4 linked regions of the Drosophila melanogaster genome follow. The protein of the gene in region 3 purifies or fractionates together with the protein of the main gene of each other region. This does not show direct contact. Each region holds a gene or a part of one and is shown on either strand. Other genes may lie near its edges.

Region 1 (4,727 bases), on a different chromosome or scaffold from region 3:
CAATTGTCTCCTTTAGCCTCTTCACCTGCTCCTCGTACTTCTCGATCGTCTCCTTTGCTACCTGGTTGGATGCAGTAAGCGCAGAGATCTCGGTCTGCGGGGCATCGCAGCTGTAATTGATAGGAAAATTGAGGGATTTGAATGAATACGTAAATTCAGGAACTCCATAAATATACTTTAACTCTATTTATATTTCCAGTGCGCGCATGGCTACGAAAAGCTATTTACTCTGCCTAGCTAAATGGGTGCTGTCTGAGGGAATCCGGCGTTCACAAAAAACCACTAAAAATAGAAGCAGCTGGCGGCATTCAAGTTGAAGTTGCACCAGGCGAGATGTGTGGGTTACGCGAACATGGTCAAAGAAATAGAAGCGTTTTTAAAGATTCAAATCTAAACACCTTTCACAAATTGTTTATTTTCGCAAACGAAACAGAAGTGCAACTGCACTGTGCTATTATTTTGAGCGCAGATCTTTTACCCAAGTCACTCACTCACTCACTCACTTTTTCGGTTTCGGTTAGCCAATCTATATGCGTTACATCACAGTCTATAACGTTGGTGGATCGACAGTAGGGCCGACGTCATCGATCACCCAAGACGATCGGGGGAGGAGCGCGAGAGCGATGGGCGGAGGAAAAGCGTGCTGACTGACGGACAGCGGCAAATACAATGAGCATTGCGGAATTCCAGCGATCAAATTATCAAGAAGTTGGCCAGTTAACTACCTTGTCGATCGGCTGACTGCCTTATCGCGCTTCCAGGGCCACAAAGCGATCGTAGCTGGGGCGTCACATCGCATCCAGCCGAGTCTATTCGCAAAACTGGCTCACAACAGGCGTCGCCTCGCCTCTTTCCGCTCCCGGATTCTCCCCCAGAAATCTTTCCTTCTCGACGGCTATTTGCGTTGGCGTTTGTTTTGTTTTCGATTTCTTCGCGATCGGACTCCCAGTTGAGACAGCTTGCCCTCTTCGCTGCGACTGCTGCGAGAAAGCAAGAAGAGCGAGCGAAGACCGCACGAGAAGACAGCCGAGTAGAAGAGCACGCCGCACTCGTCTCCACCTCGTTTTTAGTTCAGGTGTCAGGTGAGTGCGCGCAAGAGGTGAGTTGGTATGTTCAAAATGCGCAAAATTGCTTACTTAAAGTACTTTTCAAAACGATATAGTCGCGTAGAATACTATGTAGTTTCGTTTGTTTAACTCATTTGAATCTTTTTATAACTCTAGATCTAAAAGTAAAATAAATAATTCATAAATTTACTTACTTCGGCACCGACTCCTGATACTTTTTTGACATCATTACTGAAGGAATTCTGCTAGCTGTCTCTCTTCCCAACTGTTTCGCCCGGCCAGGCATAGTGTCCATATTATCCGTTTGTAACCTTTTCTCCTTTAGGGTTTTACAAATGCCTTTGGCTTTGGGAGCAATCCCCCGCCGCTGAAACAAGGGTTTCGGCAGGTTAGTCAGCTTCGAAGGACGCGGTAGACGGGACTCCTCTGGCTCAGGCAATGCGAGAACAGGAGCGTCGCCTTCTGAGCCTGAGGCGGTTAAAGTCCAAGTACGACGACGCTTCTGGAGGCGATAGTCGTCAAGCGAGGCGCTGGAAACGATCTTCAACATGTCGCGCTTGATGCGACCTTCCAATTCCTGCAATACCAGCTGGCTCTCATTCTTGATCTTCTTCTTAGCAAGCTTATCCTTCAACATACTGATCCCGCGATCAAGTTGCCTCATCATCGTGGTTTCAGAGTCTATCTTGCAGACCTGCGGCTTGCAACGAATTTTTTTGGCACACGTGCCGAAGCTTATAGTGGATGACGACTCCTCCACGAACGATGGCGTAATTGTACAGATGATAGAGGTCAAAACATTTCCACCCAGCGAAGGCAGCATGATGCGCGGAAGTTTCGAATCGCGAAAGCTATTCGGCTTGCTATCTACACTCTCGGAGAGGCTCTTAACCAAGTTGCGAAAAATCATAAGGCTGGATGCGTGGTCCGCGGGGTCCACCTGTTCGGATCCAGCCAGATCCACCAGGCTCAGTACGCTCTGCTTTACGGTGTCGTTATCACTGTGGTCCGACTTTCGGGACTCAATGATCTGTAGAAATAATCTTGCATATTATATGATTAATACAAGAATCTAGCACTCACTATCCTGAAGATGGCGTGCGAACGACTGGACCGCTCGTTCATGTTGGTCTCGCCCACGACGCGCTCCTTGTTGCCCATGTAGAGCTGGCGCAGGAGGTCGTCCTCGCTGGTTACGATGGACTCCTTGCAGTTCACATTCACAATCCCATTGCCGGACTCATGGATCTTGAGGTCCTGATTCTTCTTGTTCAGCAGATCGTAGATCTTCTCGTTGTAGATCTCGATGTAGCCCACGCGCAGCAGAAAGTCCCGCTCCGTCTCACTGGAGATCTGTTGAAAGATCTCCTTGGCGGCTAGCACCATGACGCCCGGATTCTGTTCGTCGCCCATCATGGTGTACGTCTTGCCTGAAATGCATGCCCGGTTTTAGGTATACCGCCGCGTATATATAGCACAGTACCCACCCGACGACGTCTGGCCGTAGGCAAAAATAGTTCCGTTGGAGCCCTGCATGCAGGCGTGCACTATGTGCTTGGCCATCCGGTCGAACACCTCCTGGTTGCTGGCGCCCTCGTCGAACACATAGTCTGCCAAACGGAATGGAATGTAAATGAGATAAAGGTCTTGTAGATCAGGATACGCTCAACGCTCTAACCACTCACCGAAGACATAGGGCTCCGCATGGCTGTCCGCCAACTGGATGGAGCGGCCCTCCTTCACCTGCCAGAGTGAAGTGAGCCCGGGCTCGCAGGGACGCACCTTGATGCAGACCTGGATGGAGCTGGCGTTCTTCGTAGACATCTTTGCGACTTGTGGGAAACGTGTTTGACATGCACAATGAACAGACACAAACAGATTTTAACGTTTTATAAAAGCTAGTTTGATCGACATGTTAGTTTCTCTTTGTAAATTCGAACAAATACCGCTTCGGAAGCGAACCAGATCGAAATACGGAACCAGTAAATAGGCGCGAGCCAGTTCAATTTAAAAGTTTGAGGAGCTTTCGGCGAATATGAAAATATAATCCAATAGGCTTCGAACATAAAACTTTTTCCGAGCTTTTTCGTGATATATAATATAGATTATTATTATCTATATTTCCAAAATAGTAAAGACCGCTAAATTAAATGCTTACTTACAGACAGACAAAAGCTGAGGGGATTGTTTAATGCATACAGAAGAATACTGTCTGATATAAACATGAGATTTCATTGGAATAATAATCCCAGTTGTTCACTATTAAAAAAAATAGGAAAATTGAAAATTTGGAAAATATTATAGTGGTTATATTAGGGAGCTTAGTTATAATTTATTTCAAATATTTGTTTTGGAATCAAATACTTTCCACATTATATGTGTGCTATGAATAGAAGTTATGAATTAGTAGAAAAAATACGAACTTATATGAAATTTAAACCGTAGTTTTCGCATGTATTTAAGAGCTTGTTCTATTTTCTGTTTGACCTTAAAGTATTGAGTCATAGAACTTTGTTAGTTAGCATGCCCTACCAATAAGAACACAACGTCTTAGAATATATATATGCCGTAGCGACCCTTGATCAGGAATGTTAATGCAGCCCTGTGGGATAAGAACATAATGTGTTTCTGTTTTTATTTTTGCAGCCCTATTTGGAACTATGATAACAATCGATGAACCGATTTATCTATCGAGTCGTTAGCGCCACTCGAAGATATCGAAGCATATACATCCCTGATTTTGCAAAGCGGCATTTGTTCGAATTTAACGAGCAACAAAGATGTCGATCAATGTTTGTTTACTGTAAAACATTGAATTTTATGTTTGTTTATGAACTGCGTTCTGTTTATCATAAAGCATTGAGACCAAGAAGGCGCCAAGATGTCTGCGAAGAACGCCAGCTCCATCCAGGTCTGCATCAAGGTGCGTCCCTGCGAGCCCGGGCTCACTTCACTCTGGCAGGTGAAGGAGCGCCGCTCCATCCACTTGGCGGACAGCCATGCGGAGCCCTATGTCTTCGGTGAGTGGTTAGAGCGTTGAGCGTATCCTGATCCACAAGACCTTTATCTCATTTACATTCCATTCCGTTTGGCAGACTATGTGTTCGACGAGGGCGCCAGCAACCAGGAGGTGTTCGACCGGATGGCCAAGCACATAGTGCACGCCTGCATGCAGGGCTTCAACGGAACTATTTTTGCCTACGGCCAGACGTCGTCGGGTGGGTACTGTGCTATATATACGCGGCGGTATACCTAAAACCGGGCATGCATTTCAGGCAAGACGTACACCATGATGGGCGACGAACAGAATCCGGGCGTCATGGTGCTAGCCGCCAAGGAGATCTTTCAACAGATCTCCAGTGAGACGGAGCGGGACTTTCTGCTGCGCGTGGGCTACATCGAGATCTACAACGAGAAGATCTACGATCTGCTGAACAAGAAGAATCAGGACCTCAAGATCCATGAGTCCGGAAATGGGATTGTGAATGTGAACTGCGAGGAGTGCATCATAACCAGCGAGGTTGACCTCCTGCGCCTGCTATGCTTGGGCAATAAGGAGCGCACCGTGGGCGAGACGAACATGAACGAGCGGTCCAGCCGTTCGCATGCCATATTTAAGATAGTAAGTGCAGCCTGCTATTTTCTTTCCGATAATCTGCA
Region 2 (4,723 bases), on a different chromosome or scaffold from region 3:
CATCACTACTAATTGAAATAATACCTCATTTTCGTTTATTTTAAGCCCAAAAATGACAAAATATATATCTACGAATACGAAAAAAGCGCACACAAATGAAATATCCAAATTAATTAATTTAATAGCAATAAATGCAAACGTTTCCCTGCAACTTTTTTGTGGCACAAGTCAATCGCACGCTAAACTACACAAAATTGGCCAAATGATAATATTATTTAATATTTATAGATACCTACGCTTAAGTTACCCTTGCCGTATTTACCCACCACTCAGTGTATACATATGTATAACCATGTAAAGCTAAACCGTTCCAAGTGCAATTTGTAATCCCAAAAAAGGCAGCGGAGATCCGTAATGAAATCCGTAATACGTGTGGCAATAAAGAACTTAAGAAATCTGATATTATGGAGTATCATCCCCTCCTTTGTCCAGGAACCGCTGTGTTCAACTCAATTTACCTAATTCAAATGTAATCAAAAATAAATGCATTTCATAAAACATAAAACATTGAACATTGCAGACAGCTTCATTGTCTTTTTTAATTTGAAAACAAAGAATACTCTTTAATAAATTCCTTACAGATCAACTGGACTACAACAAAACATCCGGATCAAATCAATGATTCTTGATGGCATCTAGCACGGGCTGAAAGGATGGCAGCTTGGCGGAGTACACCTTTTGCTCCACCTCGTTCAGCTTGGCCTGAGTCGCGTTGACCTTTGATTCCACGGCGAGCAGCTGGTCCTCCGCTTTGGCCAGCTTCTGCTCGCATTTTTCCAGGCGATCTTGGCGGGCCTTGAGATCCTGCTCCTGAAACTGCTCAGCAGCGGTGAGTAGATCCTCGTTCCGTTGCTTGCTGGCTTCCAGCTTTTCCAGCGCCTGCTTCTCCCTCTTCTCCAACTCATCCAGACGGGCGGTCTGGTCGTACTGATCCTCGAGCAGCTGTTGCCTGTGCTGCGCCTGCATGTCGCGCTTGGTCCGATAACTGGCCTCCATTTTGGTCAGACGCTGTTTCTGCGCCCGCAACTGAGAGTCCATGGTGGCGATTTCGGTGTCTAACTCGATGGAATCAGACTTTACCTTGGCCACCTGCTTGTCCAACATCTGACGCCGATCGATATTCTGCTGGCGGTGCTGTTGCAGAAGTTTGCCCAGCAACTCCAGGCACTGCACCCTCTCCGAGATGTCCTCTTGATTGGGATTTAGTGGCAGAGTAAGGTCCGATTGCTGGCCAATGCCGCTCTTTATCAGGCCACAAATCACCGGGTCCATGCTCAGGTGGCGCACGTGCGAGTTAAAGACCTCAACGGAATCCAGTTGCTTTTGCTTGGCGCGCGACAGCATCACCTGCTGATGCAGCTCCAGCTCGGACACCTCCTTCACCTGGCGCTCATAAGCCTTGGAGTAGTTTTCCATATCGTCGCACTTCATTTGAAGCTCCTTTAGCTGCTGGGCGGAGAACTTCTGCCTGTTAACCGCCTGCTCCAGACGCTTTTCATACTTCATTTGCTGGCGGAGATTAGACTGTTTTTCTTCTACCTGGGCAGACAGCTGTTCGTATAACTTCAGTTTCTTGATCAGCTCCTCTTCACTGGCAGCTAGCTGTTGGGCAAGCTGATCGTGCTCTTTGGTAAGACGTTCCAGTTTGTTCAGTTTATTGTCTTCACTGGGATCATGCAACTTATTCTCCAGTTGCTGTAGTTTCGTCTTCAGATCGCCGATTAGCTGGTCTAAGGCTTTGCGATCGGGCAAATCACACTTCTTGCTGATCACCTGATCCCTGGTCTCCGCCTGCAGCTTGGCCTCCTCATTGGTAAGCTCCTGATCCCACAAGGCAATGCATTTGCTAGCCTCTTCGAAGAGCAGACCATTGACGTCTTCATCTAGCTGAATGGCGTGCGCCTGTGTGGTGGACATGATGGTCGTCGACTCGCAGTGCATGCTATTCAGATACGAGCTGGGCTGCTCCATGGTTTCCATAAACGGAAACTCCTCCTCCACCACATCCGACGAGGGCAGAGGCGGTAAAAAGTCCATGAGAAAGTCCAGCAGAACGATCACATGGCCGAATGAATGCTGTGTTGTTGGCGATACAAGCCATGATTTGTTCACCTGCAAGTCACAAGTGGATTTAAGAATTAAACGAACACTGGAAACCTAAGAGCATCCGAGTTGCTTACCTGATAAGGATACTGTAGCTTTTGCATTGCGCTGGTAATATCCTCGACATGGTTCTGGCCCACTGTCACGCGATTTCGCCAGATGTGGTGGAACATAAAGTTGAGAATGGAAACAAATTGCTTGATGGTCATGTGTCGCAAACCCCCGGGCCGACTGAATAGATCCGCAATAAGTCCAGTGGGCGCCTCGCTGTTCTGAATGCCATGTAGGTATTCCAGGATCTGCTGTGCCCTCTCCGCCACCCATTTCTTGTCGGAGTGTGGCGCAATGGCGCGCTCCGCAGTGGAGGGCACAAACCGGTGGCCTCGCTTGGGCGTCACGCCCATTTGACTGGCCCGATCGCGCTCCAAGTTCAGCGGCTGCGGCAGACGCGATGCGGACGGCCTATGCGGATTGGATTCAAACATTACTGGTTGTGCCTTCGATAATCAAATGGTTGTGCATACCTTCTGGGTGCCGCCTGGCTGGAGGACGGAGTGTGCGTGGCTGCGCTCCGCTTTGTTGCCCTGGAAAAGGATACGCATTTGCATCGTTGACAAGATTTGATCAGTTGGATTTCGATGCTCACCTGGTTTGCCGCTTATCGGCAGTGCCTCGCTCCTCCAGTACATCGCCACGGAACTCGCTGGTCCGCCGGGGCATCAGGTGCGACATCTTGGCGTTATTGAAACTACGTTGATTAAATTAAATGTTTACTCAGTTTGATTGGGAATCGCGCGTCGTTTAACGCCTGTTATCGGCAAATCGATAGTTTCCAGGGATGCAGTCGCGATTGACACCCTAGTGTTACTAAACCATCTGGCAGCACTGCCAAATAAAAAGTGCGCCATTTACTTAAAAATTCTGATTACTTTAGGATCATGCCACCAAAACGGAACAAAAAAGCAGAGGTACGATTGAAATACTACATTATTTCAATAGCTAAATGCATTTCCAAACGATTCTACAGGCGCCAATCGCTGAGCGGGATGCAGGCGAAGAGCTGGATCCCAATGCGCCGGTGCTCTACGTAGAGCACTGCCGATCCTGACGAGTCTTTCGTCGTCGAGCGGAGGAGCTGCACTCCGCTCTCCGGGAGCGTGGTCTCCAACAGCTTCAGCTCCAGCTGAATGCACTTGGAGCACCACGGCGAGGAGCCTTCGAGTTAAGTTTGAGCGCCGGCGGAATGGGAAAGCAGGAGCAGGTGGCACTTTGGTCGGGTCTAAAGCGGGGTCCACCACGTGCTCGCAAGTTTCCCACTGTGGAGGAGGTATACGATCGGATTGTAGGGATTCTAGGTGACCAGCAGGAGTCCAAGGAACAGATCAACACGCAGAAGTTATCTAAAATTGATTTACCGGGGTCCGAGGCTCTAGCATCGCCAAAGAAGTCGGAGTCCACAGAGGAAGCACAGGAAAACGAGGTAGGGAAGGCCCAATAAGTCCAGAAAAAATTAACTAAATATTGTTTTTATCAAAAACGAAGGCACCAACTTCAACTTCAACTTCGCGTAAATCCAAAAAGGAACAGAAATCCGAGGAAGAGCCAACTCAAGTCGATTCAAAGGAAGCGAAGCAATCCAAAGAGTTGGTCAAAACGAAGAGACAACCGAAAGCCCAAAAGAAGCAGGCAAAGGCATCCGAATCCCAAGAAGAAGTTGCCGAAGATAAGCCCCCTAGCAGCCAGAAACGGAAGCGGACCACCAGATCCTCCACAGACGAGGCTACTGCCGGTGCCAAGCGGAGGAGGTAGTTGTGCCCAAAACAAAGCGTTCAGCAATAGAGCCCTATGATCGATGATTGGCAAATCCTCTCGAGGAACCGATCGTTGAGAACCCCTTTGCCTTTGTTGATCGCTCAATTTTGGATCAAAAACTACATACATGAAAAATACTCGAGCATTGTTATTACAAAATATATTAAAACATCTTAGAAACCTATTTCCATTTTTGTTTTTTTTTTTCATTCTCTTGTGGTTCATTTTTGTCTGATTTTTTGCCTCTCATTCGTTAAAATTTTGTGGACTTTGATTTTTCTTCCAAAATGTACATGTTTTCCTTTTTTGATCTTATTTCAATTTTGTCCCTTCTTAGTTAGTTAAAATTTGTTTTCGTTTTTAGCTCAGCTTAATAATTATGATCCTAGAGAAAAAATTTTGGTTTTACGAAATTGTTTTTACTTTTAGCTTCTTCTAATGCTAGAGATACCCTACCACTTGCCTAAATAGATTACAATCTGAATTGTCTCTTTTTTAACTAAAATTTTGGTTAAATAAAAAAAATTGAATATAATATGTGGGGAGGGGTGGGGAGCTAGGTGAAATAGTATTAAGAACATGCAGCAACAGAAACCGAGAGATTGCGATTAGGTGGAGAGCCAGTCCAAAAGGTGGACTTGCCTTAAGTAGAGTCGCAAATACAATGCATGCAAGTATGTATATATATATATATGTATATAATGTCTGTACACCCATATATATAATGTACAATATAATGCAATGGTCTGGCGAACTGCTCTAAGCAAAACTTCGGAAACCAGATGTGAAATATAGTCGTGTATTGCAA
Region 3 (3,126 bases):
GGACGATAGCCTAATCCACTCACTTGAACTTCTCGTCCAGGCTGCGTTGTCCAATCATGTGCTTGAGTAGAATCTCCACTTGCGCAAAGCTGCGGGTCACGGCGTCCACGCATTCGGGCTTGTAGGCAGCTAGAGAGGCTTTGACCACCTCGAAATACTCCTTGAAGTCAACCTCAGCCAGCAGAGGACCACTGGAGCTAATTGAACCGTAGATGAGCTCGGGATACTTCTCGCGTGCCCAGGCGGCCAGCGATCCCGGATAGGAGCCACCGAAAGCGATCCATTTCTGGCCATCGCCCAGATTGAACTTAACCTTCATGGCGGTTACAAAGCTGGCCAAGTCCTCCAGAGCCTGCTCCGAGCTGAGATAGTGCAGATTTTCGGTGGACAGATCAGCGGTGGGATGGCTCTTGCCATAGAAACGATGCTCCAACTGCAGACACAGCGCTCCAAAGTGCTCGGCATAGTGCACCCAGGCTCCTTCGCGCATCCACTTGGCCGACGCCTCGCCCTCGCCACCGATCATCAGGAATACGGGTGCGGAGCTGTCATTCCGATAGAAGTCGGCATTCACAAAGTATCGCTGCTGCCAGGTGCGCTTATCGCTCGACTTGAAGTGATCCAATCGCTGCTCGAACCACAGATCCTCCGAGTGCAGGCTCCTTTGCAGGGTTGGAATCTTGCTGGGCTCCCCGAGGAATCCCTTGGTCAGCCTTCCGCGTCGAAATCCCATTCCGGAAATGGGCGCAAGCAGTCCCAGGAGCAGAAGACCCACTCCCAAGGGCCTCAAAACGCCCCCAATGAAAAGCATATTTGCTTCCTTTGTTTGTTCGGGTCAAGTAGAATTTGCCAGTAATTGAAGTATTTAATTAGTTGGAACCTCGCACAGTGCCTAACTGTAAATAGCGACTGAAGGAGAGTGGTGTGTTCTATTTATATAGGCACCGTTATGTGTGTCGCACTCTCCTGATTATTCAGTTCTCGCTGTATTATCTATATTCGCAAAGCCGGCAAAGCAAAACTAAAACAGTAGGGGCATTCATAGTTATTGATTTCAATCATTAATTGAATTAATTTAATTTTAAGCAGAGAAAGATTTCTGTATGCTGTAAGTGTTCTGGTAACTTTACAAAACTTAATTTAGCTTTTTATTTATTTATATTATTTCCTAGCTAGATATTATCGATGAGCTTAATAGCACCGTAAATGTGAACGTGTTTTGCAAAATTTTTGTCAAGTAATTAAGAAAAGTATACATTCTTGCATGCTTTGATAATTTCCATCTGCGTGTAATTTTAAATTCTCACTGAACTAATTTAATGGAAGTTTCCTGAATTTCAAATGCTTTAGGTAGCTTTAATAAACAACATATAGTTTATTTGAATTATTCCATATATTAGGTAAATATTATTGTGGAGTTTCACTGTGCCGTTAATGCGAAAGCTTAATAAATGTATTTGTCAAAAATTTTAGGAAATTGTGCATGTGTATGCGTTGTTTTTATATTTTTCATCTGTATAGTCAGTTATAAGTAGCCAAATTTAGTAACTAGATTTTGTAGCTAAGTATGGCAGCACTGTTGCTGTGGTAGCATCTCTTTGTATTCTGAAAACGGTAACACTAATTGCGCGACAATTTGGATTGTTTACGTTTTTATCCAGTTTAATTGTAATATAATTTAAAAAAAATATTGTTGTTAACTGTCATAATGGACTTCAATAGCCTAGCCTACGATCAGAAGTTCTTCAATTTCACAGCGGCACAGTTGTCTGCAGAGCGTGAGTGCTACATCCTTATATCTCTGGATCAGCGTCCTTTATCCATTAATTCCTTTTAAATAGGCGAACATATTGTGCAGGACATAATTAAGAAGGGTATTGGTCAGATCATCGACAAGATCAAGACACCCGCCACAGCGGAATTGCTGGAAGCCGAGAAGGAGACCGTTGAGCGTCGTTTCCAGGCATCCGCCTCCAAGGGCCTAAAAGCCCTCAGGGAACTGGACAGCAAAGTGTTCCACGTTCCACCGCATGTGCTGCATCCGGAGCACATGTTCGTCGAGAATCAGTATACCAGCGAAGAGGAGGAGCAGAAGACAGCCAGGTTGGAGGAGCTGAAGGCCAAATACAGAGAGGTAACTTGTAGAACCAATGGAAACTATCTTGTATGCCTCATTTTAATCATTATAATGGGGAAAAGGATGCTTTATTTTATGTTTTAATAATGCTAAATCACATCAATTTCAGAACATGGCCATGCTGGCGCATTTGAAGATCGAGGAGGAGAAGTACGCCGCCATGGAGGATCTCATCCAGAAGGAGATCGAAATGCAGGATCGCGTGCAGCGAAGCTGCTCCTCCCTCAACATCACCAAGCTGAAGCAATTCTGGAATCAAGTGCCCCTGCAGATAAAGAAGGAGACTGATTAAATAAACTAACTGGATCAAGTTTTTTAATCTACATTTCCAATATCTTCTTTCGAAACTAGTTTTAACCCTGGAGTCATTTATAATCACTAAGACTCTTCTATATTCCACTTTACCTATTATTATGTCGTTAACTTAGTTTTAAACTTAAAATTAAATTAAATTAAAATTATTATGAATCCGAAACACCTAGATGATTACTTACTAGTTTTAAACCAATTTACCTTAGCATTATATTAGTTCCTTTGACAACAGCGGCAACCAAGCAACGGTCGCTGTTTAAATTTTCCAACTGCCTTGTTTTCAAACAGAAAACAAGCCGGTTAAAAAGTTTCAAGCACAGAACAGACACAAAAACCCCCTTATATGTTACATTTCGAATCGTATATTTTGCTATAAGCCTGGAAAAATGGGAGACTCGCACGATGTCTGCAGGCAGCTGCTGCCGCGCGCAATCTTCGGCATCAATGGCAAGGTGGAGAATGGAGTGCGCCAGCATCCGGTCACGGGATCCATCATCTTTGCGCTGGGCAACAAAATCGGCATCGCCGACTACAAGAAGAATACGCAGGAGTTTGTGGCCGGACACACGAACACCATATCGTGCCTGGATCTCAGCAAGAGTGGCAAATACATGGCCTCCGGTCAGATCAATCACATGGGCTTCCGCGGCTATGTGATCATCTGGAATTACGATCAG
Region 4 (3,848 bases), on a different chromosome or scaffold from region 3:
GTTTTGCGGGAATAGAGTGGAAAAGCGCGAACCACCGCACAGGCGCTGGCGAATAGATTCTCTCGTTCGCAGACGAGCACCACGCTCTCCTCGGAAACGTTCAGCACATGGTTCTTTACCAGACGAGTGATGGCATGAGCCCGGGATGCCGTATTGTGTCGGGATGCCTTCAATGGCAGGGCAGCCACGGTGGCCACATCGAGATAGAGGGATACCTTATCGGTGGGCGCGGGATGCAGACAAGCGACGGCATTCAGGAAGGTCTCCTCGGTGACGCGCGGACTGAGTTTGCTCTCCAGATGACTGAACTTCAGTAGGTTTAGATGGCGCAGCTGGCCGATGATCAGGACCGGATGTGTCTGCGGATCACTGCAGCCTAGCGACTCGTTAAACTTTACGTCCGTGGCCATCTGTAAGAGAATGTGTGTGCGAATGAGTAAAGAATGGAATGGCTAGCCAAATCCCAGTGATAAGCCGCCGGTATTATCTTATCGGTGCTAATCTGGTGTTTAGCGCTCCAAGTGCCCCACTTGCTTATCAGTCGACGACTTTGCACCACAGGGGCGGTCAATGGATGCAGCCATCCATAAATCACGAGAGCCAAAACCGGCGAGATAAGCAGTGGCATTTGGGTTATGGGTAGGGCCATCTGGACAAACACAGGGGCGTTACTCATCGGTTGCAAGCGGATGCAACGCTGTAGGGGAAGTTTAAGAATAGCTGACCCATATTAGAATGGCTCAATTAAAGTAGCTCCATTGTGAAAAATACTGCAGTATAATTTTATAACTAAAATTCTAATAAAAAACAATCAATCAATAATTATGTTTACAACTAAAAAGCATTGGGTTCATAAAATGAAGCTTCAAAAGAAAAAAATTACCTCTAAAATATTTTAACTATAATAATCACCTAATATACATAAATATAAATTGTATTGCATTTATAATGAACAAATTAAGATAAATTGTAGTAGCAATATGAATTCTAATAATTTACATAACATTTTCTGAGTTTTAGCGAATATTAGAAAATCTTATAAAATCAAATAACGTTTTTTTTTACAAATTATTAATTTTAATATATTTTGGTACAATAACTTAACTAAGTAGTTAACATTTTCAACTTAAAGCCATCAATTTTCCAGCTTTACAGTCGCAAGGCAATAAAAACATAAACTACCGAAAAGATATCGTTCAGCACATATCTTTACGATGCTCCATAAACTCGCATGGGTTTTATAAGCACGATATCATTGTGCATAAAGCGATTTAAGTTTCTTAAAATCGCAAATGCCACATGACCTTGAATTCGGTGCAACAAGAACAACAAGTGGGTCGTTGACCGACTCGCAGCATTCGAAACCGAAAAGTGGATAAACATCTAATTTACCCATTTTCAATTGGATTTGACTGGACACTCGATATGTAGAAATATTATGCAAATTCTATATTCTCTATTTTTAGACTCTTTGTTCGCGATTTCTTCGTTTGCAAAGCGTTTTTTGCACATTTTCTGCCTTTTTATTCGCTCACCTTTTTGAAGCGGGCGCTGCTGTAGGTGCGAGCGAGATGGTTGCGTATTGCCTGGACGCAGAGCAGCAAACGCATGAAGTGCCTGCTTCAGAAATTGCACAAAAATTTGCCAAAAGTGCCGACGTTTTATTTTTATTTTATTTTGCTGCCAATTTGACTTGCAATTTTTTGCTTGCCGGCTAATAGAGATGTGACTTGCACGACGATAAGTCGATGTCAGCTATCGATAAGTGCAGAACCACTTTTTTCTTTCAGCCTGGCCACCCTGCTGGTGTCGTGGAAGTGTCATCCCTAATGAGAAGTACCACCACTAACTGGAAAGCAAAACAAGCGTCTGGAAAACGGCGCTTAGTTTTTAAAGATTTTAATTGATTGCAGTAAATTGAGTTTAAAATGGCAATTATTATGACTGAATCGAGTTACGAAAGGCGCGTAAAGGCTTTGTACGAAAAACAAATTCACATGGAAGCCCTCGAGGCGAAATTCATCAAAAAGGTCTTTAAATTCAACAGCAATTTGTGTGAGTTGGAATTTATCTCCATATATCTCCATTTCAATTGATATATTTCACTAAATATTTTAGTGGATGTCAAGGAAGCAGCTTCGCGCCATCAGCGGAAAGTGGGAAAGTTGCAAAAAGTGCTCATGGAGCGGCGGGAGGAGTTGGACAAGCGAGTTTCCTTCATAGAGGAACTTGATCGAGAACTGGAGGCCACCAAACTTCACAATTTGGCCATGAAAGATTGGTTTAAACAGCAGAAAATGCTGGCCAAACAGCGCAAAAACGAAATCATGGAAAGGTCAGGGATTAGGTCAAAGATAATCATATTAAGATTTTCTTAGCACGAATGGCTAGCTAATATTTTCCGGGCTCCAATGGGTTCGATCTTGTCCTTATTATACATAAAAATGACTATTCATATTGATTTTTAGTCCATCCAAAACTACTATTGGTACAAATATATGTATATGACAATAATGTATTGTCAACATTTATGGTCTTTACATGCGTACAAGTTGCAGTGAGAGACTAATCAAATACTTTATTTACTTTAACTAAATCTATTAGGAGCATCATCAAAGTCTATAAACTGCAAATAATAGATATAGTTGAGGTCGTGTTCCAAATAACTTATTTAGCTTACATACATAATTTATTTGCATAGCCTCACATGCGCTCTTATTTTTCAAACAAATCCGATTTTAATGCGGTCAGTTTTAAACTTAGTATACTATAATGAGAGCAATGTGTGTTTATTTGTTTTATTTTATAGCATTCACACGCTGTCGAAGACAACAAGAACCTATATAAATCAAGAAGCGCTGCCGGCACGTGTGAAGGGTGTCACTGTACTCCGTGGCGATAAACGCGACCAGTTGATACCCTTTGATCTGAAGGCGACCGATGTGGAAGGACTGGACTCACTGTGTCAGCATCTCGAGAGTCTAAATGTGGACGTGGCGCAGTGGCAGCAGCTTATCTCGCTGGCCATGGACATGGCTATGGAGTCACGTGCTCCCACTACTCCGCCCAAGGAAGCAGACAATTGCAAGTCTATAATCGAGATTGATCTCACATCGCCGATGAGCCACACCTGACTTCCGATTAACTGATTTACTTGGATTAGGGGGAAGACCCTTTTCCAATGGAGCACTTTATTTTAGCATTATAAATAGTTGGCTTCCAATAAAAGCTCAATTGGGAATTCATCTTAACGAATTAAGCATCTTATTATAGCAGTTTTTTAGCCATTTAAGTACTGCTTGTAATTGTTTAAGTGCAGTGTAAATTATACATATATCTCCCAAAATTTTTTTTTTTTTCTTTTTTCTGATATATCATCTTCACTGGAAGCTTAAAAATTTTTAGAGATATCGCCAAAGAAGAGATATCGCGAAAGGCTCCAGTTTAAGTAGTTCCAATTCAAACTTATTCAAATTAAAAACCAGTTATTGAATTTATTTTAAATCAAAAGTCTTCTTATCATATTTAACCAAATTTACAACTTTAGTGATAATTATATCATAAATTTGGTTTAATGAGTTCTCTATTACTATAAGGTTTTATATATATTTCAAATGTTTGGGTAATTTCCTTATAACTATATCAGAACAAGACCTGTTTTATTAAACACCTTTCTTTAAGATTTGTATGATTATCTGAGAGCTTTTGACATGGCGGCCGGTGTTAATCGAGAAATCTCGAAAGTCACAAGCGACTCAGAGTGCCACCGACTAACCGATCTATGAATAAACAGCGATCCATATAGATTGGCGCTGCTCAATTGCTATTGTCCGGCGAAAGTTAGAGCG

The links.
Region 1: the proteins of Mis12 (region 3) and cana purify together in Drosophila melanogaster (affinity purification with mass spectrometry, with the first as the bait; one large-scale study listed by BioGRID). This does not show direct contact.
Region 2: the proteins of Mis12 (region 3) and Ndc80 purify together in Drosophila melanogaster (affinity purification with mass spectrometry; one large-scale study listed by BioGRID). This does not show direct contact.
Region 4: the proteins of Mis12 (region 3) and Spc25 purify together in Drosophila melanogaster (affinity purification with mass spectrometry; 2 studies listed by BioGRID). This does not show direct contact.

What each region holds. Positions count from the first base shown.
Region 1 is NT_033779.5:11,268,068-11,272,794, reverse strand, and holds the start of cana (CENP-ana), read right to left. Parts: upstream 3,016-4,727; 5' UTR 2,892-3,015; coding exon 2,753-2,891; intron 2,678-2,752; coding exon 2,555-2,677; intron 2,498-2,554; coding exon 2,151-2,497; intron 2,098-2,150; coding exon 1,262-2,097; intron 986-1,261; exon of another isoform or gene 504-985; intron 299-503; exon of another isoform or gene 177-298; intron 111-176; coding exon 1-110. Other genes in the region: cmet (CENP-meta), read left to right, coding at 3,949-4,087, 4,163-4,285, 4,343-4,689.
Region 2 is NC_004354.4:13,609,131-13,613,853, forward strand, and holds Ndc80 (Ndc80), read right to left. Parts: upstream 2,933-4,723; 5' UTR 2,836-2,932; coding exon 2,750-2,835; intron 2,688-2,749; coding exon 2,628-2,687; intron 2,566-2,627; coding exon 2,181-2,565; intron 2,113-2,180; coding exon 616-2,112; 3' UTR 541-615; downstream 1-540.
Region 3 is NT_037436.4:6,967,517-6,970,642, reverse strand, and holds Mis12 (Mis12), read left to right. Parts: upstream 1-1,594; 5' UTR 1,595-1,708; coding exon 1,709-1,778; intron 1,779-1,841; coding exon 1,842-2,134; intron 2,135-2,246; coding exon 2,247-2,429; 3' UTR 2,430-2,608; downstream 2,609-3,126. Other genes in the region: CG9953 (uncharacterized protein), read right to left, coding at 24-811; CG10064 (uncharacterized protein), read left to right, coding at 2,836-3,126.
Region 4 is NT_033777.3:12,959,908-12,963,755, forward strand, and holds Spc25 (Spc25), read left to right. Parts: upstream 1-1,837; 5' UTR 1,838-1,928; coding exon 1,929-2,055; intron 2,056-2,118; coding exon 2,119-2,335; intron 2,336-2,809; coding exon 2,810-3,134; 3' UTR 3,135-3,342; downstream 3,343-3,848. Other genes in the region: grsm (granny smith), read right to left, coding at 1-410. UniProt on the Drosophila melanogaster protein: Acts as a component of the essential kinetochore-associated Ndc80 complex, which is required for chromosome segregation and spindle checkpoint activity during meiosis and mitosis.